Rattus norvegicus: one gene and its partners. The protein of the gene in region 4 interacts with the protein of the main gene of each other region in a biochemical or structural test. Links are inferred from orthologs where the notes say so. Each region holds a gene or a part of one and is shown on either strand. Other genes may lie near its edges. The genes, in order: Rhob, Pdlim7, Ube2d1, Smurf1, Plekho1, Ube2d2 and Ube2d3.

What was found.
Region 1: the proteins of Smurf1 (region 4) and Rhob form a complex in vitro, tested with the Homo sapiens proteins (2 studies listed by BioGRID and IntAct, with this or other methods). The link is inferred for Rattus norvegicus from reciprocal best matches to the Homo sapiens genes SMURF1 and RHOB.
Region 2: the proteins of Smurf1 (region 4) and Pdlim7 are reported together in a solved structure, tested with the Homo sapiens proteins (2 studies listed by BioGRID, with this or other methods). The link is inferred for Rattus norvegicus from reciprocal best matches to the Homo sapiens genes SMURF1 and PDLIM7.
Region 3: the proteins of Smurf1 (region 4) and Ube2d1 form a complex in vitro, tested with the Homo sapiens proteins (3 studies listed by BioGRID, with this or other methods). The link is inferred for Rattus norvegicus from reciprocal best matches to the Homo sapiens genes SMURF1 and UBE2D1.
Region 5: the proteins of Smurf1 (region 4) and Plekho1 form a complex in vitro, tested with the Homo sapiens proteins (4 studies listed by BioGRID and IntAct). The link is inferred for Rattus norvegicus from reciprocal best matches to the Homo sapiens genes SMURF1 and PLEKHO1.
Region 6: the proteins of Smurf1 (region 4) and Ube2d2 form a complex in vitro, tested with the Homo sapiens proteins (3 studies listed by BioGRID). The link is inferred for Rattus norvegicus from reciprocal best matches to the Homo sapiens genes SMURF1 and UBE2D2.
Region 7: the proteins of Smurf1 (region 4) and Ube2d3 form a complex in vitro, tested with the Homo sapiens proteins (15 studies listed by BioGRID, with this or other methods). The link is inferred for Rattus norvegicus from reciprocal best matches to the Homo sapiens genes SMURF1 and UBE2D3.

What each region holds. Positions count from the first base shown.
Region 1 is NC_086024.1:37,082,530-37,086,530, forward strand, and holds Rhob (rho-related GTP-binding protein RhoB), read right to left. Parts: upstream 2,676-4,001; 5' UTR 2,393-2,675; coding exon 1,802-2,392; 3' UTR 501-1,801; downstream 1-500. UniProt on the Homo sapiens protein: Mediates apoptosis in neoplastically transformed cells after DNA damage. Not essential for development but affects cell adhesion and growth factor signaling in transformed cells. Plays a negative role in tumorigenesis as deletion causes tumor formation.
Region 2 is NC_086035.1:9,128,579-9,132,607, forward strand, and holds the start of Pdlim7 (PDZ and LIM domain protein 7), read left to right. Parts: upstream 1-1,229; 5' UTR 1,230-1,284; intron 1,285-1,800; exon of another isoform or gene 1,801-1,927; intron 1,928-2,237; 5' UTR 2,238-2,248; coding exon 2,249-2,344; intron 2,345-4,029. UniProt on the Homo sapiens protein: May function as a scaffold on which the coordinated assembly of proteins can occur. May play a role as an adapter that, via its PDZ domain, localizes LIM-binding proteins to actin filaments of both skeletal muscle and nonmuscle tissues.
Region 3 is NC_086038.1:17,332,459-17,335,958, forward strand, and holds part of Ube2d1 (ubiquitin-conjugating enzyme E2 D1), read left to right. Parts: intron 1-27; exon of another isoform or gene 28-108; intron 109-837; coding exon 838-901; intron 902-988; coding exon 989-1,020; intron 1,021-3,415; coding exon 3,416-3,493; intron 3,494-3,500.
Region 4 is NC_086030.1:14,829,043-14,832,542, reverse strand, and holds part of Smurf1 (E3 ubiquitin-protein ligase SMURF1), read right to left. Parts: intron 1,919-3,500; coding exon 1,804-1,918; intron 450-1,803; coding exon 271-449; intron 1-270. UniProt on the Homo sapiens protein: E3 ubiquitin-protein ligase that acts as a negative regulator of BMP signaling pathway. Mediates ubiquitination and degradation of SMAD1 and SMAD5, 2 receptor-regulated SMADs specific for the BMP pathway.
Region 5 is NC_086020.1:186,235,615-186,238,294, forward strand, and holds part of Plekho1 (pleckstrin homology domain-containing family O member 1), read right to left. Parts: intron 1,962-2,680; coding exon 1,821-1,961; intron 776-1,820; coding exon 671-775; intron 126-670; coding exon 24-125; intron 1-23. UniProt on the Homo sapiens protein: Plays a role in the regulation of the actin cytoskeleton through its interactions with actin capping protein (CP).
Region 6 is NC_086036.1:27,669,399-27,672,898, forward strand, and holds part of Ube2d2 (ubiquitin-conjugating enzyme E2 D2), read left to right. Parts: intron 1-1,975; coding exon 1,976-2,007; intron 2,008-2,087; coding exon 2,088-2,165; intron 2,166-2,245; coding exon 2,246-2,351; intron 2,352-3,500.
Region 7 is NC_086020.1:226,541,938-226,545,993, reverse strand, and holds the start of Ube2d3 (ubiquitin-conjugating enzyme E2 D3), read right to left. Parts: upstream 2,801-4,056; 5' UTR 2,528-2,800; coding exon 2,504-2,527; intron 1-2,503. UniProt on the Homo sapiens protein: Accepts ubiquitin from the E1 complex and catalyzes its covalent attachment to other proteins. In vitro catalyzes 'Lys-11'-, as well as 'Lys-48'-linked polyubiquitination.

The DNA of each region.
Region 1 (4,001 bases), on a different chromosome or scaffold from region 4:
CCACCCCTAAAAACATTTTAAAAAAAAGTCATCTAGGTTTAATGTTCTTGTTGTCAAAGTGAGACAAGCAGCACCCCAGAATAAACCTCAGATACTTTTTAAAAGACCTACAGATGAAGTCAAACCAAGATCTTTGGCCTCATGTAATAGGACTAAATGCACAATAATCAGTACACTCTGGGTGTCTGGTTGACAAGCTTATCCGCCTCAGGGAATCGGACAGGAATAACCTGGCCTCTTGGGGTCACCCAACCCCTAAAAGGTGCTAGGTTCATTGACCATATTTACCATATAGAAGCAGTTACTTCCAGAAAGGGTCTCTTCCCTTACCCCCCACTTCAGACGTTTTCTATGACACTATTAAGCCACAGGAGCCGTTTATAAATGTCATCATCATAGTCTTTTAATATTTTACATAAAAAACTGTATACACAGCTTATAGAACTTTTATGTAAACATCATAAGCTCACCACTTTGTCATCTGTCAGTTTATTTAAAAAAAAATAAAACAAAAACAAAACAAGACAATTTAGTAGAAGTACCACTGGGCTGGGAAAGGAGGGAATAAGGAAGAGGAAGCTTTGCTCTGCACAGAGAATGTACAGAAAATTTCACATAGATGAAGAGACTTGTCTTGTGGGGAGAGGGAGGGAGGTTTAAATAGACCCCAATACGTGTTGCCTTCCTTTACCAAAACTGTGTGTATGCTACACAAATTTTTAAAAAGTCACATGGTTGACATTTTTTTCAAGAAAACAAAGCAAAAATTAGAATCTTTTTTGTAATCTCCTTAAAGTCATCATAGTTTGTTTTAAAAAAAAAACATCAGAAGTAGATGAGGTTACAGCATACAAGTGTGGTCAAAATGCTGCCTTATGCAAATGACAAGTGCACTGGGTGTCAAACAATGGGACAATTGTGCAAAGAATTCTTTCATCAACAACAAAAAAAGCTTCAGCCTTTAAATAAATTCAGCAACAATAGTCTCTCGACTGAACAATGTTCACTTGTAGGACAGGCACAAAGTTCGCTTATGGCAAAAGTGACCCCACAGCACACCCTGGATCCTCTGCAGGTGGCTGGAAAGGAGGTTCGCTGGGGCTTGGCCCAGGAGACACTGTGTCTGGGAGCTGCTTCCTCTCAACCTCAAGTCAGTTGCAAATGTCTTCCCAGGGTGTGGAAAGATGGCCGAGTCCAGTTCATGCTTGGATGGGTGGGCTCCTGACCCAGCCTGGGAAGAGTTGCTCATGGGCCCTGGTCACACCACTCACCACTAAACAATACCATTCTGCCTCCGAAAATAAAATCTGTATTTATGTAACATCCCCATCCTCCCCAGCCCTCCCCTCCCGTGATTCCAGGGGGTCTATGTTACAGACATGGAGCAACAGTAGTGGCTTGCTGGTTACAAGCGAACATCTGCTGGGGCTCAACCACTCTGCATGCCCCTGGGGAAACCAGAGGCGGGGGTGGGGCAGGAGTGGGGTAGGGGTGTAGGGAGTCGTACACACACACAACCACACTTCGAGGCCTGGCTCTTTAGAAAAGGACGCTCAGGAACCCCTTGGCACTCAGCAGGGCGCCCAGGCCTGTGCCACACAGCTGGACACACACAGACACTGGGAAGGGGGGAGCTCGGTGCCCACGCTAATATTCAGCGTGACCAGCCAGAGCCACCAGCAGATGTCAGGCAGTCTGGTGGTGTCCTCGGGGGCACGGGTCTCCCTTTCTCCCGGTTAGTGGGCGACCGGGCCAAGGAGGGGGAGCCACGCTGGCAAGGGCGTGAGGCAGGGCGCGGCCTTCATAGCACCTTGCAGCAGTTGATGCAGCCATTCTGGGATCCGTAGCGCTTCTGCAGCGCGGCGCGCGTGGCCGTCTCGAAAACCTCGCGCACGCCCTCCTTGGTCTTGGCCGAGCACTCGAGGTAGTCATAGGCTTGGATGCGCACCGCCATGGCGCGGCCGTCATCCGTGCGCACTGGCTCCTGCTTCATGCGGGCCAGCTCCGTGCGGACATGCTCATCGCTGCGCAGGTCTTTTTTGTTGGCCACCAAGATGATGGGCACATTGGGGCAGAAGTGCTTTACCTCGGGCACCCACTTCTCGGGGATGTTCTCGAGAGAGTCCGGGCTGTCTACCGAGAAGCACATAAGGATGACGTCGGTGTCCGGGTAGGAGAGCGGCCGTAAACGATCGTAGTCCTCCTGGCCCGCCGTGTCCCACAGCGCCAGCTCCACCTGCTTGCCGTCCACCTCGATGTCCGCCACATAGTTCTCGAACACGGTGGGCACGTACACTTCGGGGAACTCGTCCTTACTGAACACGATCAGCAGGCACGTCTTGCCGCACGCGCCGTCGCCCACCACCACCAGCTTCTTGCGGATGGCCGCCATGAGCTCGCCGGGCGCGGGCAGCAGGAGGGGCCCGCGAGCGCCTCGCCGCCGTCCCGCTCCCTGCTTGCCGCTTCCCGCTCTCCCGCGACCGCGCGATGCGGGCTAGGCACGCTAACTGCACCTGGACCCCGCGGTGGAGCGTTCTCTCGGGGCGCTCCGGCTGCCGCGGCAGGGGCGCAGGGGCATACGATGCACGGAGTGTCGCCGCGCTGCTGCCGGGTAGTGTTCTCGGCTGTCCCGGAGTCGCGCTGCTTTGTGCGAGTCGATGGCTGATTTTGCGGACCCGGCCTAGCTTCTTTCCCGGGGCGGGTTCTTCTCCAGACCTAGGGTACAGGGGCGCAGACGACGACAAGCGGACTGCGGTGGCAGATGCGGGCTGCGGCCCTAGCGCCCGCTATTTAAAGAGTCCGGCCACTTTCTTAATATAGCCACCCAATGGGAAGCCACAGGGCTGAGCTCATCGCTGCGGAGCTTAGCTCCGATTGGCCGACGGCTGCAGTCCGAAGGCGGGTTCCCGTCAGCTTGATTGACAGCCCTGTCCGCCGGGCTGGGAGAGGCGGTTACTGTGGAGTCTGCGCAGCGACCGCCGGGTAGGGTTGTGTAGCAGCCGGGTCTCCGCCTTCGTAGCAGCCTCTCTGAGCGCGACACTGTGGATCAGGCAGCCTGGAGCCCTCCGGGTCTGGGCGGGCAGTTCCGAGACGAGCTACACTTTTGTGGGGCGTTGGCTGCTCCCACAGCTTCATATTTATCTAGCTTCGGATCGAACTCCCGATCAAACATGGGGGGAGGGGCAGCGCCTTTAAGGAGATCATGTTTTCACTTAAACAGACACCCATGCTCGGTTTTTTGTTTTTTGTTTTTTTTTTTGGTTACCTACCCCAAGGGTTTCATTCTTTCTTACTTTCTTTAGGTGACTAAACCCTCTTCTGCTCTGGGCCGAACTCTGGTACTTTCTCAGAGGCAGCCTTTGCACAGAGAGAAGCCCACAGTAAATTGTGTGGGCCTGGGTGAGTCCTCTCTAGGCTTTTCTCTTCAAGGCCCGCACTTAGGTCTCCGGGTGAAGAAGATGAGAATCTAGAAAAGGCACAGCTGTAGGACAAAGGAAAGAGAGGTACAGAGGGCATTCCGCTGAAAAAGAAACCATCCATTTTAGGCAACCTTCACCCAGTTCTACGACATTACATCTGATTCCAGTCCTAAAGCCAGAGAACTGCTTGAAGTACACTGTGCAAGAAAACCCATCCACTCCAACAACTCTCATCGAGGAGAAAGGCTTAAAGCTGGGGAAATAGGCATGCAGTCAGCCTCACAGGGGACTTGCAGGCGGGCACATGGTTACTACGTAGAGAATAAAGTTTCTTGGCATACACCAGGTCTTAATTGGTGAATTAGCCCATCCTGCAGGAGATGACACCTCCTCCTATCTTAAAGGATTTAAGTCAGTCCATTGTAAGAAATGGAAAAGGCAGAAAGCAGCAAAGGGAGTTACGGAGGGTCTTCCCCCGAAAAGAGAAACTGAACAAAGGGAAAAAAGAGGAAAGAAAATGGCTTAATATAGCTGCTTGGGGTCCCTCATGGAGGACTAGGCTAAGGGTACCAGCTAAGAAAA
Region 2 (4,029 bases), on a different chromosome or scaffold from region 4:
GCTGAAGAAGGGTTTTTTTTTCCTTCCTTCAGTTTTTTGAGACAAGGCTTCATTATGTAGCCTCAGTTGCCCTCAAACTCGTTCTGTAGATCAGACTGGCCTTGAACTCAGATCCACCTGAAGAGGATTTCTCCAAAGGTGACAACTTCCATAGGCCAATGTGTACTCAGGACAATGACGGGGAAGAGGGTGGTGCAATGCCAGTTGGGGGCTGGGCAAGGGGAGACTGTGCACCTCACTACTCACTCAAACACTCAGGAGAGCTCAGCTTTTCCTTTCTGCCCACCCTTGGCTAAAGCTGAGGATAAAGGAGGGCCTCTGAGGGCTGGAGGGATCGCTCTGCGGTTAAGAGCACTGACTGCTCTTCCAGAGGTTCTGAGTTCAATTCCCAGCAACCACATGGTGGCTCACAACCATCTGTAATGGGATCTGATGCTCTCTTCTGGTGTGTCTGAAGACAGCTACAGTGTGTACTCTGGACTGGGTGTAAATAGGAAACCATTCCAACAGTGGTTCTGGGAGCTTGGGTGAAGTCTCAGGGCTGTGGGCTGCTGTCTGGATGAACTTACACTGTCAGGAAACAAGTGGAGCTAAGTCCGCCCCCGTTGGCTATGTATGTATGTATGTATGTATGTATGTATGTATGTATGTATGTACGTACGTATGTATATATATTCACTGAAGCCCCTGCAAGCCTTTAGTTGGGTTTGGGGTTGAGGACTGAACTTAGAGCCTCCAACGAGCTCTACCACTGAGCTACATTCCGAACGCCAGGAAACGTAACTTGAAACTACCCTGTCTCGCTTCTCCAGTTCCTGGAGAATCCGAAATCTGATGGTGCTGACCACATCGACCTCTAACAGTATCCCTAACAGAAGTGTTAATGATGCCACTTTCCCCTACAAGGAAGAGTAAGGTGAGAGAAGACCAATCAACTTGGGTGTTTCAAAGGGATGCTTTTCCTCCACTCCGCCCGTGGGAGGCGCAAGGGGCTCGGGCTAGAGCCTGGAGTAGGGCACAGGCTGGGCAGGGACGGGGCTGGCGAGGGTAAGTGCCTGACATCGCCTTCCCCCTCCTGGAGACTCAGGGCTTCTGGACTGGGTGGGGCCTCCCACCGACCCCGGTCTGTCCACTCGCTTGGCCTGGGGAGGGCGTGGTCTAGGACTCCGCCCCCTTCCGCGGGCTCAAAATGCGCGGCGTCCGCGGAGGCGGGGTCAGAGCGCAGCGGCGGATCCCAGCGCGGCTCCTGGAGGCCGCCAGGCAGCCGCCCAGCCGGGCATTCAGGTACCGGCGTCCGCGAGGGGGTTCCTGGGCTGCATCCTACGGGGTCCCATGGACTGCTGAGGCGCTGGGGAGGGTGTGGGCGGTCGTGGAGTGTGCCAGATTCACTCGGCTGGCTCGGGCCGCAGCCTCCGCCCCCGCCTTCCTGCGGCGAAGTGGGGCTGATTGGCGCCTGCGCCACTGTGTGCGGTGGGGACGCAGCCAAGCGCGCGGGGCTGGGGCGGGAGACGAAGGGAAACAGAGTCACGTTGGCAAGGGAACATCGTGCGTGGGTGGCACTACTTTCTCTGGTTTCCAGAAAGGATCCCCTCTCTAGCCATGCGTAAGGGACATGACCCCCGTCGCTCTCCACAGGGCCAGTACCCCAGTTTTTCTTTTCCCCTTGCAGAGCCCAGGGGTCCCGCCCTGGCCACCAGCAGCCCCGACCTGTCCCAAAATGGCTAGGACCTGCTCCAGCGTCCTCCTTCCCCACCCCTCCCCCTCATATCCCAAGCCCCTAAAGTGCTCCCTCCTCGGGCTCTCCACAGTGTCAGCTTACACGCCTTATATAGTCCGAGCAGGCTCCAGCGGCGGCCTGCCTGCCGGGACCCGGGGAAGGAGGGGGAGCTGGCCCCTGACTCACCCCGCCGCCCTCCTGAGATTCCAGGTTAGCTTGGGCAAAGCAGTGCCAATTAACCCTACAGCCAACCCCTGGAAGAGAAAAGAAATTGAGCTTGATGAGGACTCTTCTCACCCTCCCAGTGGCAGCGGGCAGGGTGGGGAACCAACTTGCCTGTTGTCTGCTAGAGGTCGGCCTGCCAGGAGCCCAGCCAAGCCAGACGAGATACCTGCCTCCCAGTGCCTGTGTGTGCTTAGCGTCCGCCCGTGCCTTCTTGGTACCTGGCCAACACTAGTGCCCAGATCTGGACCTGCCTGCCAATTTGCAGTGCAGACACTTTTCTCTTCTTTCCTCACAGGAGCAGGTACCATGGATTCCTTCAAGGTAGTGCTGGAGGGACCTGCCCCTTGGGGCTTCCGTCTGCAAGGGGGCAAGGACTTCAACGTGCCCCTCTCCATCTCTCGGGTGAGCCTTGGATGGGGGAACAAACTCCCTAAGGGTTCTTGGGTGCTCAGGTTTCGAGCAGATCATGGTGGGAAACCACAGGAGCAAGCTAGGACCAAAAGGACAGGAGTGCCCAGATCCAAACAGACACTACAGAGACTCCCAACAGGGTGCTCCCAGTTTCCCCACTTTGGCATGGTATTTGATGCTATTCCACCCGTGGCCGCCCACCTATGAGTGCCAAGGGGGAGATCCCTTCAGTACTGGAGACTGATGACTCCGAGAAGTGTCTTAGTTGGAAGAGCAGCGAGTGGAGCCAGGTCCCCAGCTGGATGTAACTTTAATTTCACTGCTATTCAAGGGATAGCAGTTGTCATGTTTCACCAAGTGATAGAATTTGGAGGTGTGGAGGAGCACGTTCAGCAGGTCCACAGCAGAGCAAGGGTTTGAACTGAGGCACAAAACGGACGGCTTGTACTCTCTGTATGTGTAAGGACAGGGAACTCTTGCCGCCACCCTGTTTGAGGGCTGAGTCTCAGTCAGCTGGTGTAGCGGGCTGTCGTGACCTTTGACCCTGAGCAGAGGTGTAGCAAGGCGGGCCTGTAGGATTCTCGGTCCCATTCCTCAGTCCACCCTGGTGGGGAGGGTGGAGCTGGGAGCTGACTCCTCCCTGTGGCAGGGGGGATTGCCTTATAAGCCCAAGAATGCAGCCCCAGCTGGGATGGCCAGTATTGGCTAGTCAAGAAAGCCCAAAAGGATTGGCCTAGGTCTAGGCCCCTCACCTGGCCCTCCGTCATTGGTGTCAGTAGGACTCAGAGCAAACTTTGTGCCCAGAGTGGGTGAAGCCAGCCTTCTAGCTTGGTATCTACAACTAGCCTGGGGGATGAAAAGGGGGGCAGGGACTTCCTGCCCTGACATCCGCTTGCCTAGAGAGGCCCACCCAGCCACAGTGTAGGCTGTTGGCAGGCAGCTGTTGCCCAGGGCAAGCCCAGCCCAAATGGGCCTGAGAATTTCCAGGCACTACTCAGCCTGAAAGGGGTATCAAGGCTGTTTCTCTCTGGGAGCCAGACATGGTGGTCAGGGCGGGCAGGCATGCATGCTGGCTGTGTTCTTCCCAGGATACTTCTCTGGAATTGCCTTGGAATCTGCTCCAACCAGCAGGATGACTAAGGGCTGTGGACCCTTCCCCCACACATTCAGCCTACATTTCCCCTCTGGGAAAGTGCTGGCCAGTGTGCTGTAGGTCTCAGTTTCTTCACTGGTCATGAAGGCCTTGCAGATGTTGCTGGTTTGGGGGTACTCTGGCCCCTGCTGGCCCCTGGGCTCCTTTGTCAGAGGCCTTAACATGTGGGTGGGGCCGCCCACTGAGCCCTGCCCTGGAGTGAGTTAGGCCCTGATGGGTGGGGTGGTCTTTTCTAAATTGGACCAGCCCGCTATCCCTCCCCTGACCCCAGAGTGGAGGGAGGAAGGAGGGGCTAGGGCTGGCTGAGGGCCCAGGCCTGGAAGATGAGGTAATGTCTGGGATTTGGGGGTTGGGCTGCTCAGTGGAGCTCCCAGGCTGACTCACCCACACCCATAATACTGTCCAGCCCCCTGGCTTTTCCCCTCCTTAATCTCACTAACCTCTCTTTTCCAAAATGGTCCTCCCCATGGTGCTCCTCTCTCCAACTCTGACGGACGGCTTACCCCTCACATGCTTCTGCCCT
Region 3 (3,500 bases), on a different chromosome or scaffold from region 4:
TTTTTTTTTCTTTTTTTTTTCTTTTTTTTTCGGAGCTGGGGACCGAACCCAGGGCCTTGCGCTTTCTAGGCAAGCGCTCTACCACTGAGCTAAATCCCCAACCCCGAATCCAGTGTATTTCTCAATTGCTTTCCATGTTATTCTTGAGGTAGGGTCTGTCACTGAGCCTGGAACTTAACCAGTTCAACCAGGCTGGCTGGCCATTAAATCCTGAGGATCCTCCTGTCCCTCTCTCTCACCAGTGCTGGGAGTACAGGCTTGCCTCGCTGCATGCAAATTTGTACACGGGCGCTGGGTATTGAACTTGAGTCCTCCTGGTTGTGCCGCAAGCACTTTGCGGACTGAGCCATCTCTCTCTCCCAACCCACCTCCTCTCTTTGCACAGATCCTAGGCTCCTTCAAGTCATTCCTTAAGTACCCATGTTTCCAAGCTCTCACTTTCCCTCACTGGACTGTTGCTTCCTGGAAGACGGGCCTTGTTTGTTTGGGTCTGGAAACGAAACCTGGGGAGTTCATGCATGCGTTACTGTGCCAGCCGGGACCTGCTTGTTGGTATCATCTGCCTAGCAAAGACATATGTGAACTTGCATAAGGGTGTAGTAGGGATCTTAAAGGAAAACACTCTTGTTCTGCTTCGTCCTTTCAAAGGCCGGGGCTCTCTCATCAAGGAGTTTAACACAACTTCCTTCTTCTCCCCATAATGGCAGGGTCCATGATGAATAGAATCAGCCTAAAATAATTTAAAGAGAAGCTGCTAGTCTGTGTCTTTCTGGGTTCTTAGGGCCTGCTTCCCCAGAAAGGGAAGGATTAACTGCAAGTGTTTCTGCTCTCCCTCAGGAATTAAGTGATTTACAGCGTGATCCACCTGCCCACTGCTCCGCGGGACCCGTGGGAGATGACTGTAAGTTTATTCGATTGCTCGGTTTTGCTACCGTTGAAGGGATGGCTCTGAGTAACTGTAAGTGACTCCTGTTCCTCTGTATTGCAGTGTTCCATTGGCAAGCAACCATCATGGGGCCCGTAAGTACAACTCACTCGTGTGGATTGACCCCCCCCCCCCGTGCCTCTTCTGCACTCTTGGCTTTTGACCCGTAAGGAGATGTCCCTGACTCAGGATGAATATTCTCGTCCTCTGAAATCACCCAGGAAGCAAAACATGATCGAGGGTTTGAAGTGATTTTTCTAAAGCACGGCTGGCCAATGCCTCCTGGGTTACCTGTGCTAAAACCTCCTCGTTCCATAGCAAGGTTTCCATAGCTCTCTGTGCAAGCAGTCTGTGTGTTGGCCTTATTAATTCTTAACACAGCATCAGTTGTTTTTAAAAGAGGTGGGGTCTTCCTCACACACCCACGGTTTTCAGAGGTTTGAAATAAGTGTGACCCAGGAGTGGAATTGCTACATCTGGCAAGCATCAGTTTGCAGTAGGTCTCCTTACGACTCTTGACTTGAAGTGGAGGAGTCCTGCTGGGTGGTGTCTCGGTCACCTCTTGAGTTTGCTGCTTGGCCTTAAACGGCAGACGACTGTCTTATCACTGGTTATCTGTATTTCTCTCCCCACCCGAGAAGCAGCACTGGCAAATGAAACGGGCTTTCCCTTTCTACGAACAAAATACCGACAGTGAAAGAGCAGGCGCTCGGTGAGAAGACGCTAGCAATGTTCTTCCTGAATGGCCTTACAAACGTCCTCTGGGATGCTTTATGACTCAGCCATTGCTTTTAAATCATTTGCCCTGTAATCCAAACCAGGGAAAAAAAGATGCTGAATTTCAAAGAGTCGTCCCTGGGGAATTATCCTAAATGACTAAATTAGTCTATTAAGTTAAGAGGAGAGAGAGAGCGGCGTATTTACCTAACAGTCGTCAGTAAGAACATAGTTCTTCCAGCTTTGTATTCATTATCCACATGAACCTTCAAAGCCCCATCATCCAGAGGTGCGCCTCCCAGTCAGAGCTGTGGCCTCCACGGTGTTTCTCAGGCGAATCATGTGTAGCAAGCAGCTGTAATGTTGTTTTGTGTGTCCCTCTTACTGCAACAGCCTAGACACGCTCCACCATCCTCTATAGTCACCCAACTGTCTGTGGGGACCTTGCTTGTCTTTGTGATCTGTTTACATTTTTTTTAGCGTTTAATGAACTAGAATTAAGCAACGTACTAAGGCTAATTAGACAATATAACCCTGTAATCTTCATGCAGAACTTCAAGCACTGAGAGAACGACAGACCTGTCTTTATTACCCATGATGCATTCCAGTAAATATGAAGGAATTAAAGTACAATTTGAGGGGGATTGGAGAGATAGCCCAGAGGTTAAGAACACTCACTGGCTGCTCTTCCAGAGGTCCTGAGTTCAATTCCCAGCAACCACATGGTGGCTCACAACCATTCATAATGGGATCTGATGCCCTCTTCTGTTGTGTATAGTCATAACATAAAATATATGTATATATGTACTCATATACATAAATTTAAAAAATAGGTTTTGGAATATATTTTGCTACTATTTTTGTTTTTTACCCTTAATCTTTCTCTTTCGTTTATGTATATTTCGTGTACATACAACATAGACACATATATACACATACATGTATACACACAAACACACACACATGTACACATATATACATTTACACATATATACACATGCACACATATAACACACACACACACACACACACACACACACCATTAAGCAGCTGACTGGGCCTTGCTAAAGTTGATTTTTTTTTTTCTTTTCTTTTTTTTGGAGCTGGGGACCGAACCCAGGGTTGCTAGGCAAACGCTCTACCACTGAGCTAAATCCCCAACCCCGCTAAAGTTGATTGTTAATTTGACATATCACAAATACTGAATTCATCCAGCTTGATTTTGGAGTTTGTATATCTTCTGCAATATAAAGTCCTAGCAAATGAATATTGAGGTAAATTGTACAGTTAACCCTCTTACTAAACTTTTTTCCTTTTGGTTATACCTGCGTGGACATTATAATCTAATATTTGGAAATTAAAAAAAGGTAAACGTTTAGTTGTTACCTTCTAAAAACAGCGATGACTGCTGAAGAGAGTCCTCCTTCCTCCCAGAAGTCCTCATGCGTACACTGGTACCCACAAATCTGTCTGGTTAAATCACACTGCTGTGCGCATGCGCGTCTGCGCCTCTTTAAACTCGGTGGGAACCCTGGGTAACTTCATACCTGGGAAGGAGTCTGCTCTCCATGTAAATTCCTTCAGCCCATGCTGCAAGGATCGTTTTGTTTTGTTTTGTTTTGTTTTGTTTTGTTTTGTTTTGTTTTGTTTTGTTTTGTTTTTATACACGCTAATTCTGAGGGTCCTTGGCACGGTTAACGCCCTGGGGATGGTTCAGAGGGTTGAGTATGTGCCTTAGCCAGACTCTGATGTGCTTTCTCTGTGTAATTTCAGCCCGACAGCGCCTATCAAGGTGGAGTCTTCTTCCTCACTGTCCACTTTCCGACAGACTATCCCTTTAAACCACCAAAGGTATTTA
Region 4 (3,500 bases):
TTTAGGGGTGCATGATCTCCATCCACCCCACCCCCACGAAACCAGGCAAGTTACTGGCATTTGTAATCAAACCTAATAACAAGCCAAACCAGCTTATGAAAAGAATACAATCAATTAAATGATGACATGTTTTGTTAATTTGTAATTGCAACCCAATGTTGGATGTTGTTATAGTTAATTCTGTTACTCTCTTTAGTTTCACACCTGTTCCCCCAAAAGAATGCACACCCAACAGCATCCTGAGCTGTGGGAAAGGATGGTGACACTTACAGAATCCACACCAAGCTCTTGTGAAGTTCTGGGTCCACTGACTCCAGATCCGACAGCTGGATGGGTTTTCCCAGGAGCTGCTTGTAGAAAGGAACTGTGAAGCCCCCGTTTATGTAGTGTCCATGGAACACAGCCAGACCCATGATGCGACCCACAAAGTGGAAGTAAGACAGATGGTCCTATAGGGGGCGCCAGAGAACGGCAGGCGGACATTAGGAAGATGACGAGTAGGCGAGGATACCCACTTCCCACAGGCTTCCTGTGACTCTACACCCAACAGGACATATACTCAGCTGCCCATCCCTCACCTACCCACGGCCAGACAGGAAGGCTGCCACTGAGTTCCAGCTTCACTCACTCCTAACACAAGTGGGACTGGTACTTCACAATCCTTCTGCCTCAGCCTTCAGAGTACTGGGATGACAACTGCACCAGCACACACGCCCTGGCCTAACACTGAGAACTTAGTTAGCGTGCAGGGGCCTGGTACAAAGTAAACATGCGGAGCCCTCGACAGTTAGGAAGGCTGTGCTTCTTCCTCCTCAGCTGGAGGGGCTCTGGAGTTTAAGCACTCATAGCTCGTGTGTTTCTGAAAACGTGTCAGGATTTAGTTTCCAGGCTGGGTAAAGGTTTATTCACTGTGTGGATGTGCATGTGTGGTGAATGTGAAGATCACCTTCATCCCCCAGTTGCTGCCCAGTGCTGCCAGGATCTTTCACTGAACCTGGATCTCACAGATTAGGCTGGCCAGCCAGTGCGCTCCAGGAGTCACCCAGGTCCACTTCCCCAGCGCATGTACAACCATGTCTGGCGTCTGTGTTTTTGTTGTTTGTTTGGTGTTTGAAAACAGGGTCTTTCTACATAGCCCCAACTATTCTTGATCTCACTACAGCTGGCCTCCAACTCAGAGTTAGCTCTTAGGCCTGCTTCTGCTTCCTGAGAGCTGGAATTAAAATATGTAACCCCGTGCCCAGTCACATATGGCTTTCTATGTGGATTCTGCAGTGAATTCGCAGTCTCACGTCAGTCTTTACGCTTGTGTGGCTGAACCACTTTCCCAACCACAGTTCATTTGTATTTTAATTCTCTAGTAGAGATAGTCCCTCATTTCAACTCTGTGGCCTTGTGACCTCCAGGGTGTAGGAGGTCCCTTAGATGTGTCCCTGTGCCTACCGCATGTGGAATGCTCACAGCTGTGGCCCAAGAGAGCTAATTATGAAACTTTTCCAATTTTGATCAGCGAATTGACTTGGTAACCTAGCTCTTAAGATGACATCCAAAAGACCACCATCTCCCACTATACCAGAGTCCCCTCAAAGGGTAAAGGACTCAGGCACAGAGCAGCTCAGACCCACAGTCCTCCCCTGCAGGTTCCAGATCTAAACCTGACTAGAGTCTGGTCCAGTCAGTCAGTACTCCCCGCCTTTGCCCTGAGCTCTCCCCAGCATTTTCTCTAAGTCACCCATAACTAGGGGACCCAGGTTTGCCTTAGAACTACAGCTGGATTTCTCAACTCCTCATGGTAATACTCACAGGGTTGATAGAAGAATCTGGGTTGATTTGCAGTGTGTAAATATTGTCCGTGGAATACTGGAAGAGTCCATAATACGGATTCAACATTTCATGGCACAACAAATACAGCCACTCCCTGGAACAATAATAACACGCTCACATGTGCTAACGGCATCATTTTCTGACTGCTTTAAAGATGTGTGTGAATGAATGCCATGTGCATGCAGTACCCAAGCAGGCCAGAAGAGGGCATCAGATGCCTGGAGCGGAAGTTATAAGAGGTTGTGAAGTGCCTTGTGGATGCTGGGGAATCAAGGTCAGGTCCTTTGAAAGAGCAGGAAGTGCTCTCAACTGCCAACCACCATTCCAGTTCCAGCTTGCTTATTGATTGATTAATTGATTGATTGATTTTTCAAAATAGGCATTCTCTGTGTAGTCCTGAGTGTGTATTGGAATTCCCTCTGTAGACCAGGCTGGTCTTGAACTCAGAGGTCTGCCTCCCTCTGTCCCCCAAGAGCTGGGATTAAAAGTGTGAGCCACCACTGCCAGTTGGGAGTTTCTAAGCATTCTATAATAAGAGTTTGGTAGGTGAACATTTCAAGCTCTAGGGAGACATAGAGAATTTATGAACAACTATGCCCTTCTAATTTCCTGTTGAATTCTGACTTTAGACCCTAAGCACAGAACACTTTCCTTTTCTACATTTTCTGTGTGACTGTGTGAGACTGTGTATGTGACTGTGTGTGTATGTGTGTGTGTGTGTGTGTGTGTGTGTGTGCGCGCATGAAGAGCAGAGGTTGCCTCACTGTCTTCCTCAATCGCTCTGCTGATTTTTGGAGGCGGGCTGGCCAGCGAGCCCCAAGGATCCTCCTGCCTCACCTCCCAGCTCTAAGGCTTGAACTTGGGTCCTCATGCTTTCAGAGCAAGCACTTTCCAGACAGAGCCAATGCCTCAGGCCACTCACACTGTGCAATATAAAGAAAACTTAGATGAATGCAAAAACATCACAGAGGTTTTAGAAGTCTGGCAGGTATGCACTGGGTAACTAAGTTTCTAAATTCCTTTAATGTTTAAATCACTTTATCTTAAAAAAGAAAAAACAAACCTAAAATCAGCCAAACACAATAACCACTTCCACTGGAAACCAAACTGGGGTTGGGGGCCCTGCTGCGGGGTGGGCTCAGTCTTGAAGACACTGGGCCACAGCGCCTTCAAAAGACTGAGCTCCAGAGCACAGCTTAGATTTCAGTGTGGATCCCGACTCTTCAAACAGAAAGGAGGCAGGTTTGAGGAGGGCAGCACAGACCAAAACCATCTGTACAGGAAAGGGATGGAAACACACAAAAGATACAGATATGTCAGACCAAACCGGCTCGAGGCTCCCCATCTGTACTTCTGTCGAGCACCCTTTAAGGACCAGGGACCTCCTTGGTGGGTCTAACAGAAGTGTGCTCCCTGCTGCCTGTGTGATTCTCTGCTCGCTTCCTTTGTCAGGTAAGAGTGTAAGAGAATGGGGGCTGGGAGCGCACACATGCACCTGCACCCACACGGAGGTCACTGTGGGTCCCCAGATCTGGTGACTACTGAGTAAATGCAGTCCCTACACAACACACAGGTGGGAGGCTCTACAGTGAGAAGACTTAATTATGCTTTAGATGTATCTAAGTCTTCATTTTATACTTGGATCACAATGGAATTCAATAAATTAGTATGTTACA
Region 5 (2,680 bases), on a different chromosome or scaffold from region 4:
TACTTTCGTGCAGTTGTACATACCACAGCCATGAGGTGTCCCCGGGTTGGAGGACGGCGGGAGTGTTGGATTTTTGCTCTGTCTCGGGTAGGGTGGGCAAGATAGCTGTCCTCCTCAACGGTGACCTGAAGAGATGCACTGTGAGTCCCAGGGTTTCTTTAGGACTCTGTCCCAACTGAGTCTCCCTGGACTGGGAAACAGGCCATCCTGCCCACTGTTTCTGAGCAGGGATGTGGGTAGACGGATTGACGGACACAGTTGACCCCAGACTAGATCAGGCATTGTGAAGCGTGTGTGGGGTTCGAATCAGCAGAGAAAAGACTTAAGAGAGAAAGCGGGGTGGGGAGACAACACAACAGAGCCTTTAAAGAAGCTGAGAAAGTCAGGGCATAGTGGCACACTCCTATAATCCCAACACTTGGGAGGCAGAGGCAGGTGAATCTCTGAGTTCGAGGCCAGCCTGGTCTACAGAGGGAGTTCCAGGACAGCCAGGACTACACAGAGAAACCCTGACTCAAGAAACCAAAGGGGGGAAAAAGCCAAGAAAGTAGAGCTGGGGGAACCTAGAGGGGCCCCACAAAGCACCCCCCTCGACTAGTGCGTCTGTCCGTCCGTCACAGCTTGCTTTCCACCCTAGCACCCACCCCCTTTCCCACAACAAGCCCCTGACCTCATCCAGGATGCGGTTTTTAGCTCTAGTAATGGCAGAACTCAGGGCGTTGATCCATGATTCCTTTTCCTCAGGACTTACTGCCAGGAAGATGAGGTTGGGGGCCTGTGAAGGGAACCATCTTGTTTTAGCTAGGGTTTTACAAATAAATTATAACCTCCCCCCCAAAAGGAATAATCCTCTCATCCCCTCAGGTCCCGCTCATGGAAGGAGACTCTGCTTCTGGGAACATCAGTGACTGAAGGAGCCCAAAGCCTGTTCCAGCAAAATGCACAGGTTGTTTTAGAAAGGTGGAAGGGAGCTACGATGATGACACTGGGACGTGTGACTGACTGCGCTCAGGTAGTCAGGATCTTTAGATGTCTGAGGACAGGGTGTGGCAAGCTTGGCTTCCCTGGCTTCCCTTGAACTTCAGAGACACATCAGGGAAGAAGCACCAATAATGTTTCATACGTATGTACAGTGTGTGTGTGTGTGTGTGTGTGTGTGTGTGTGTGTGTGTGTGTGTGTGCAAAGTGGGGGAGGGGAGGGAGAGGGAGAGAGGGAGGGAGATATCAATCTATGGCTGAATAGGTTATAGGCTAGCCTGCCTGGAGGAAAGGAAATGGTCAGAATATTCTCCAGTTAAATAACAGAAGCCAGAGAGAGAATAATTGTGGGCCCTGTGGCCAGGACTGCAGTGAGGGAGAGCCTACCGACTGCAGCAGTGAGGGAGAGCCTACCGACTGCAGTGAGGGAGAGCCTACAGTGAGGGAGAGCCTACCGACTGCAGTGAGGGAGAGCCTACCAACTGCAGTGAGGGAGAGCCTGCCGACTGCAGTGAGGGAGAGCCTACTGGCTGCAGTGAGGGAGAGCCTACCGACTGCAGTGAGGGAGAGCCTACCGACTGCAGTGAGGGAGAGCCTGCCGACTGCAGCAGTGAGGGAGAGCCTACCGACTGCAGTGAGGGAGAGCCTACCGGCTGCAGTGAGGGAGAGCCTACCGACTGCAGTGAGGGAGAGCCTACCGGCTGCAGTGAGGGAGAGCCTACTGGCTGCAGTGAGGGAGAGCCTACCGACTGCAGTGAGGGAGAGCCTACCGGCTGCAGTGAGGGAGAGCCTACCGACTGCAGTGAGGGAGAGCCTACTGACTGCAGTGAGGGAGAGCCTACCGTGGTGCCCGGCTGTCTGCATCGGGCCAGTGTGAACTTGCTGTGGTTTTTCTTGCTCCTACTCTTGGATTTCCGGAGCTCTTCGCACTTCTCATAGTCACTCAGGTCAAACACCTCTTGACTATTTTTCTCATCTTTTACCTACGGGAGGTTGGGGTGTCATAAGGATAAAATTACTCTGCCTTTCCTCCCGGGGAAAGGGGAGGGTAACAGAGCAGAAAGCCATTCCACCCAAGCTGTGTACTTGGGGGATGGGACTGAGACCTGAGTCCTTGTATGGGGTTCTGTTTAACCCACTCCCCACAAGCTACCACCCCAGTGCCTCCCTCTACCCGTGGCTCTCACTCTGGGTCTCTGAAGGACAACACAGCTTATAAGTCCTTAAAGGGGCATGCCCTTAAAGGGGCACAGTAGTGGGCTGCTCTGATCCTTCCAAGTAAAGAAGACAAGAGTGACCACTAATAGTCCAGGGGAAGGGGAAAGGCAGCCAACACCTGGAAGAGACAAAGGGCTGCCTCTGGCCTTAGGGAATACGGTTAGCAGAGTGTTCCTTTCCACCTGCTCTCTCTAACGTAGGACGTCATAGGAGACTTCCTGAGCAGCTACTCTCCCTTTTCTACTTGGCTGGGAATATGCCAGGAACGAGATGGTCATGTTTCCCCGGGAAAAAGTTGAAACCACGCAAACATGTATAAGGAGGTCCCTGTCTGTCTGCCAAGGGAGGCGTCTACCAGCCTGTCGCCGATCTGCCCATCCTTTTGAGCACATGCGCTGTGGGGGGAGCGCAGGGACAATTCATCTACTGCCATTTGTCTGGCAAGGTTTGGCTCTCCAGTGCTCTCCCCTTTCTAGGGCTCCCT
Region 6 (3,500 bases), on a different chromosome or scaffold from region 4:
CTAAACTGTTCTTTTTTTTTTTTTTTTTTTTTTTTTTCCTTTTCTTTTTTTCGGAGCTGTGGACCGAACCCAGGGCCTTGTGCTTGCTAGGCAAGCGCTCTACCACTAAGCTAAATCCCCAACCCCTAAGCTAAATCCCCAACCCCTAAACTGTTCTTCTTTTTTTTTTTTTTTTTTGGTTCTTTTTTTTCGGAGCTGGGGATCGAACCCAGGGCCTTGCGCTTCCTAGGTAAGCGCTCTACCACTGAGCTAAATCCCCAGCCCCCTAAACTGTTCTTCTTTTTGGTTCTTTTTTTTTTTTTTTCCCCCGGAGCTGGGGACCGAACCCCGGGCCTTGCGCTTCCTAGGTAAGCGTTCTACCACTGAGCTAAATCCCCAGCCCCTAAACTGTTCTTCTTAATTTGAGTATGTAGACCCTTTCTGCCATATGCCAGTGTTACTTAAGTATATTTTATGCAGTTGTTTTAAGGAATGATTAAATCTTGGAGGTAGGCTGGTTTTGGTGGTGCATGTCTTTATCCCAGCACTCCGAAGGCAGATCTCTGTGGGTTTTGGGGAAGGGGGTTGTTTGGGATTTTTTTGTTTGTTTGTTTGTTTGTTTGCTTGTTTGTTTCATTTAGATTTATTTAATGTATATGAGGACTCTGTCAGCATGAAAGCCTACGGATCAGAAGAGAGTATCAGATCCCATCATTCGTGATTGTGAAATGCCGGGTAGTTGCTGAGAACTGTACTTGGGACCTCTGAAAGAACAGCTAGTGCTTTTAACTACTAAACTATCTGTCTAGCCCTGATCTCTGTGAGTTTAATGCCAGCCTGTACTATAGAGTGAGTTCCTGGACATAGAAAACCCCCGTCTCAGAAATAGAGAGAGACAGAGAAGAAAGTCAGTCAGTCAGTCTTGGAGGCAAATAAGTAAGTTTTAATAGTACCTAGGTAGGGCCTTTCTATGGGCTTTGTCAACAGATTTATCTTCCAGGCATGACTTTGAGATGAGTTTTTGTTGGTTAGTTAGGTTAATTTTGTGGCAGAATCACTGTGTAGCCATGGCTCGCCTGGAACTCACTATATAGACCAGGTTGGTCTCACACCCTTTACTTAGCCAAAGAGAAATTTAAATTTAGCATTGTGTACCTCAGCTTTGTCAACATTGTTGTAGGCATGCTATATCACCATGCTTAGTTCCAAAGACTTTATATTTACTTTATGTGTGTGTATGTGTACATGTACAAGACATATTTGGAAGCCAGAGAACAGCTTGGGAGCAGATTTTCTCTTGCTCTGGGAATCAAACATGTCAGGCTTGATAGCAAACCTTTTCTTACTGAGCCACCTTTCTGGCCTCAGAAAAATGCCCTGGATCTTTATAGTTTTGTTGGTGGTTTGGTGGTAATGATGTGTATAACATATGTTAACACACGAGTTCTTCTGTTTGGAGACCAGGAGAGGGCATTAGATCCTTTGGAGCTAGAATTACAGGTTGTTAGAAGCTACTCTGATTCAGAGTGTGCATACTTAACCAGCTGAGCCTCTCTCTAGCGCCTCCAAATATTTTAAAACCAACTGTCTGATTTTTTTGTTTGGTTTTGGTGGGGTTTGTTGTTGGGGTTTTGGGGATTTTTTTGTCTTTTGTTTTGTTTTTGTATTGGTGGTTGTTTGGGGGGGCTTTAGAGATAGGCTTTCTCTGTAACTAGAACTCAAACTCTGGCTGGACTCTAATTCAGAGATCTACCTGCCTCTGCTTCCAGCGGCTTTCAGATTAAAGGTAGGCACTGCCACACCCTGCTGACTTGTCTGTCTCTTATTTTTAATGGTTTAATCTTCATCCTGCCCATAGAAACTAGGTGTTATCATACTATTTATAAATAAACTATTTATAAATGAGCTTTGATTCGGTACTGGGAATGAGAGGTTCTACGGTGTAGGTGTAATGCAAATATTGTTAATTAATATGGTGACTTTTTCTTTCTTTCAGTGTTTCATTGGCAGGCTACAATAATGGGGCCAGTAAGTATTCACTTTAATTCCTTAATTAATAATTGTTTTATGTAATTTATTCATTTTTAATCTCACTCTCTTATCAACAGAATGACAGCCCCTATCAGGGTGGAGTATTTTTCTTGACTATTCATTTCCCAACAGATTACCCCTTCAAACCGCCTAAGGTAATTAGTATATGATCATTGCTCTTAAGATGCTCTGTATGGTACTGGTAAACCAATCACAAAGATTTCTTTTTCTTCAGGTTGCATTTACAACAAGAATTTATCATCCAAATATTAACAGTAATGGCAGCATTTGTCTTGATATTCTACGGTCACAGTGGTCTCCAGCACTAACTATTTCAAAAGGTAATGCAATAGTTGTTTGGTATCAAGGTGAAATAACTGATTTTTATGCAGGGTGTAGATGTGTACACCGTTGATACCAGCACTGGGGAGACAGAGACAGGCAGGTTTCTAAGTGCCAGGGCTGTGTAGTGAGACCCTGTCTCAAAGAGGAAAAAGTAACTGCTTTTTTTTTTTTTTTTAAAACAGGTCTCTGTTGGTCTATCTTGTTAAAATTATCTTTTTTTAAATTAATTATTTTTTGTATATTATATCTGCATGTATATCTTTGCTCTGTGTGTGTGTGTGTGTGTGTGTATGTGTGTGTGTGTGTTGCCCCCAGAGGCCAGAAGAGCGTGACCTGTTAATTGAATTATAGAGTTAGAGTGAGCTAGCATATGGGTACTGGGAAATGAGCAGCCATTGTTCTTAACTGCTTAACTTCTTTCCAGTCCTGGCTTTTTTTTTTTTTTTTTTAAATAACTCCTGTTTCCTTTTTAAAAGGACCAGTCTAGGGCTGGAGAGATGGCTCAGTGGTTAGGAGCACTGACTGCTCTTCCAGAGGTCCTGAGTTCAATTCCCAGCAACCACATGGTGGCTCACAACCATCTGTAATGGGATCTGGTCCCCTCTTCTGGTGTGTCTGAAAAGAGTGACACTGTACTTACATAGATTAAATAAATCTTTTTTTTTTTTTTTTTTTTTTTTTTTTGGTTCTTTTTTTCGGAGCTGGGGACCGAACCCAGGGCCTTGCGCTTCCTAGGCAAGCGCTCTACCACTGAGCTAAATCCCCAACCCCTAAACTGTTCTTCTTAATTTGAGTATGTAGACCCTTTCTGCCATATGCCAGTGTTACTTAAGTATATTTTATGCAGTTGTTTTAAGGAATGATTAAATCTTGGAGGTAGGCTGAAAAGAGTGACACTGTACTTACATAGATTAAATAAATCTAAAAAAAAAAAAAAAAGGCTGGGGATTTAGCTCAGTGGTAGAGCGCTTACCTAGGAAGCGCAAGGCCCTGGGTTCGGTCCCCAGCTCCGAAAAAAAAGAACCAAAAAAAAAAAAAAAAGGGACCAGTCTCCCTTAGTTTGTAATAGTATTTGTTGATACAATGGAAAACAGTTGAATTTTGGAGAATTGGTCCATAGTAAGATGCAGGTTGTTGATTGTGAT
Region 7 (4,056 bases), on a different chromosome or scaffold from region 4:
AAAGTCCCCCAATTATGTAACAGTCATTCTGCTTTGTAGCAGTAAATTTTCTTAAAGTTCCAAAAACACAGATTTGGAATTCAGCTGCTAAAATACCCATTTAATAACAGCACCATACTACAATTTAGTCCAAATAATTACAAACACAGCAAAAGAATACACGTATGGTTGTTTGGTGAGCTAAGAAACAGTCAAGCAAACACACAAAAGAAAAAAAAAGATAAAAGTATCAACTTATACCCATTTATCACTAAAGCTCAGTTGCATTTTAATAAAAATAGTAATGGCTTGTTAACACTTGTTTAGGGGGAACCAGAAGAATAAATTCTAAACAGGGAACAATACAAAAAAACCTCATGACAATACTGCCTTAAGAAGAAAAGGATCCTCCTTCTGTACTTTCACAAACTATTCCTGCATCTGGGTGCCATTTTTTAAGTTGCTTCATGGTTCTGACAGTATCTGAAGGAAAAACCATGATATGCTGGAATACCCTACAGGTAGAAGCATCAGCCATTTGGCATATAAACAGTTTTCGAATATAAAAAATTTACCTCTTAATATCCATACATAATTCTTTAAACTTGCAAAAATATGTTTTCTCTTGCCATCCCAGTAGCTAGAAAAATTCCTAGTACAGATTAGGCAAATTGATAAACTTGCTTAGAGTCTGATTCTATCTCATGTTTTTTACTACAAATGTTTACACTTAACCATTACTGCCTCGCTAGAGCTTTTAAGTCATTAAAATGTTGCCAAAACAGCTGAGTATCACCTGTAAAAAGAAAAAAAATCAGTAAGACCTCCCTTTAAAATGTTCGTTTTACACTATGGATCTGAAATTTGATTAACACTGAATGATATAGTTTCTGTATTAATTATGCTATAAAGCACAATAATGCATCTCTAATGTGAGGTTCACCCTCAAAATTGTCACACTAAGTGGTAATTTTAATGTTATCTATTATCTATTTGAAGTCTTGAATTCTAAGGTTTTCTTTCTCTTTCCATTATCATCAAGAATACAAACAGTTCAGTTAAGTGTTTTGCATAAAACCACAAAGATTACCAGGATGTCCTAAGAATTCAAGATTCAACAACAATATATTCAGGTAAGAATTAACTTTTCAGAAACTACAGCTTTTTCCAATCAAGCTGATCAAGATATATATATGTATATATATATATATATACACACACGCACACATATATATATATAATATAAAATAACTACAAATACAGTAGTATTAGACCTATAGTCAATCCAAGTCCTCGCCTTTCCACAGAACTCTTTAAAAACTGTGCTAAGTCAAAGTTTCTAATACCGAACCTTCCCATTTTGTCTTTTCTATTAGGACTGAGTTTACTCCACATTTTTTTTCAAGTTGGCTGTAAATACTCCACCCTCTCGATTGTGAAAGAACCAAATACAAAATACACACACACACACACACACACACACACACACACACACACACACACACAGAAACTTAGTCTGAGAGTTTGAATTTAGGTTTAGTCTTGGGAGCAGAGGCTCTGAGAGCTCCCTACAACCGGATTAAAAAAACTAACGCTTAACAGAGACCATTATCTTATAGTTAGAAAAGGAGATGCCGGGAAGAGCCTGAGCCAGTTAAAGCAGCCGCCATCTTAAAATGCGGGATAGAAGTTAGAGCAAGAAAACGAGACAAAAACCACCAGAGAAGTGGCTCCACTTACACTGTATTTCTGGAAAAATCGTAGCTCTTTCCAAATTAAAGCAACGACTTATCAAATTCTAGTGAATTGCTCAAACAAGCCTCCTTAAGGAAGGGGGTTCTAAGCAAAGCAGTCCTCCATCCAGTTTCCCTGCACTGTCAAACACCCCCAACCCCGGAATCTTTCAGAAGGCTTTTACATATAGGTTCCTGGTGCCTCAGATACATAGCTTTGGGTGAAAGCAGCGACCACACAACACAGGAAGTGGCAACAGTGTCGGTCCACCTCCTCCCAACCCCACATACTCTTGTGTAACTGCCCAGATTTGGTTAAGCTTCTGAACAGACTTCGTCACCGCATTTTAGCAAACTGAGGTATGTTTGTCATACCCCGACTCTCAGTCAAGTTTGGAACAAAACGTCTTTCAACTGTTACATTCCTTTCTTTAGAATGCCTATAGCCTTAATAGCTAAAATGTTTTGAAGAACCTAGAATAGGAAGCAGTGCCATGGCATCTGCCGAGGCCTGTACATAATTCTACTCCCCAAACCTGACTCTTAGGCAAAAAACTGAGGAGACTAAATAAATGCCACGCTCCCTCACCCATACTAGCAGATTCTAGTGAAACAAACATTTCGCTTGCCAAAACCATTCCGTTCCCTATCTTACAGCTCATTTCAAAGTGCCCCTGCCTTCTCTTACCCCATGTAAGGTATTTTCAGAATCCAACTCTCCAGGCTTTTCTCTGGGCACCAAGCCTTTCTTCCCGCGACCCCATCCGCAACATTTAGTCCCAACAACTTACCTTATTAATCCGTTTCAGCGCCATAGTCTGTGCTTTTCGCCGGGCTTCTCACTATCCCGATGTGTACTCAAAGGTCCGGCCAAAACTCTTGATTATCCCGGCGGCGGGGAAGGATTCTCTCTTCTTCTCACACCGGCTCTGCCAGACACAGGCGCCTTTTGCAAAAACGGAGCAGATCAGCCACTCGCCAAGGCCTCAGAGGAACCCTGCTGATTCCAGAACCCTGAAAACCGTCGCGATCCGGGCAGGGTGGGGTGGCAGAGCCACCAGCTACTTATATCCGCGCTTCGCCCAGAGAGGGCGAGGGTGACGGGAAGAGCCGAGAGGTGGTTACAAGTTTAACTTCCCGGCCTCTTGAAAGGAAGAGCCCCGGGTGGGAGAGGAAGAGGCGGAGGAGAAAGGGGTGGGTGCGGGGCAGGGTCCAGAGCCCGGCAGAGGAGGAGCCCGGGCCTAGTCGGCGCTAGGCCGGCGTCACTAGGGCAAAGAAAGGCAAGGGGGAGGGGAGCGGGAGGCTCCGGACCGACGCCGGGCTTCTTTCGGTTTCTGCTTCGAGGGTCGGCGAGCCAGCAGAAGGCAATTAGACTCGCGTGTGCTGTTGTCCCCACAGCTAGAGCTGTTCTGGGTCGCCCCTGACACCACCGTACTCTCCGCCTCACGGCGCGCTCCTGCGTGCGCGCGCCCAGCCACCTCTCCACGCGCCCGGCGGCCGCGGAGCTCCGGCGCGAGGACGCGCCCATGCCCCCTCCCCCTTCAGCCGGGCCCGGGCTCCGCCGGCCTTCCCATCCTACCCCACCCAGCCCCGAGGGCTGCCCACTCGGGCCGCCCACAGCCCGGGGCGCCGCGCCGGCCCCGGCCCGTCTCCCTCCCCTTTCCCGAGCTGTCCACACCCACGCGTACAGAGGGCCGGGGCCTCCCTCGAGCTGCGGCCTCGGCCTCCTCCCCGCGCGGCAGCTGGTGCCTCCCCGGCCCTACGGGGCTCACGCGCACGGCACAGCCACAAGATGTCCGCTCTGACGGAACTACTGCCAGCTGCCACGCTCCGCCCCTCCCCCTCTCCCCCCGCCTATTCACCGCCGCGTATCCGTCCGCCAACGCCGCCGTCGCGAGCGCAGGGCGAGCTGAGGGTTGAAGGGGAGCGGTTTGCCTCCCTCGTCCAGGCCGAGTGGACGCGCCACCCTCTTGCCGTCTCCCTGTCCGAACAGCACCTTCTTACTAAACCGATCGGAGGTCGGACCGGGAGGGCGGGGGACGGAGGCGGGTCATGGGCTGAGGGGGAGGGTAGACGAGTGGCGGAAACCCTTAGACTCAGAGAAGCATCGAGAACCGGAAGGAGACCTTAGGAGGAAGGTAATGGAAGCGGCAGCTGCGCGGTTGAGGCCCCACGCCCCTCCCTACTGTGGCCCCCCGTTTCCTCACTTGGGATGGAGGCGGCGGATCTCGCGAGAACCTCGTGGCAGGCTCACCGGAGCTCCGGGTCTGCAATGACTTAAGGGCAGTTTTGTGCTCTCTTCCTGGCTTGGGGCCCGCCCCCAAATCCGCAAGTTATCGCGAGA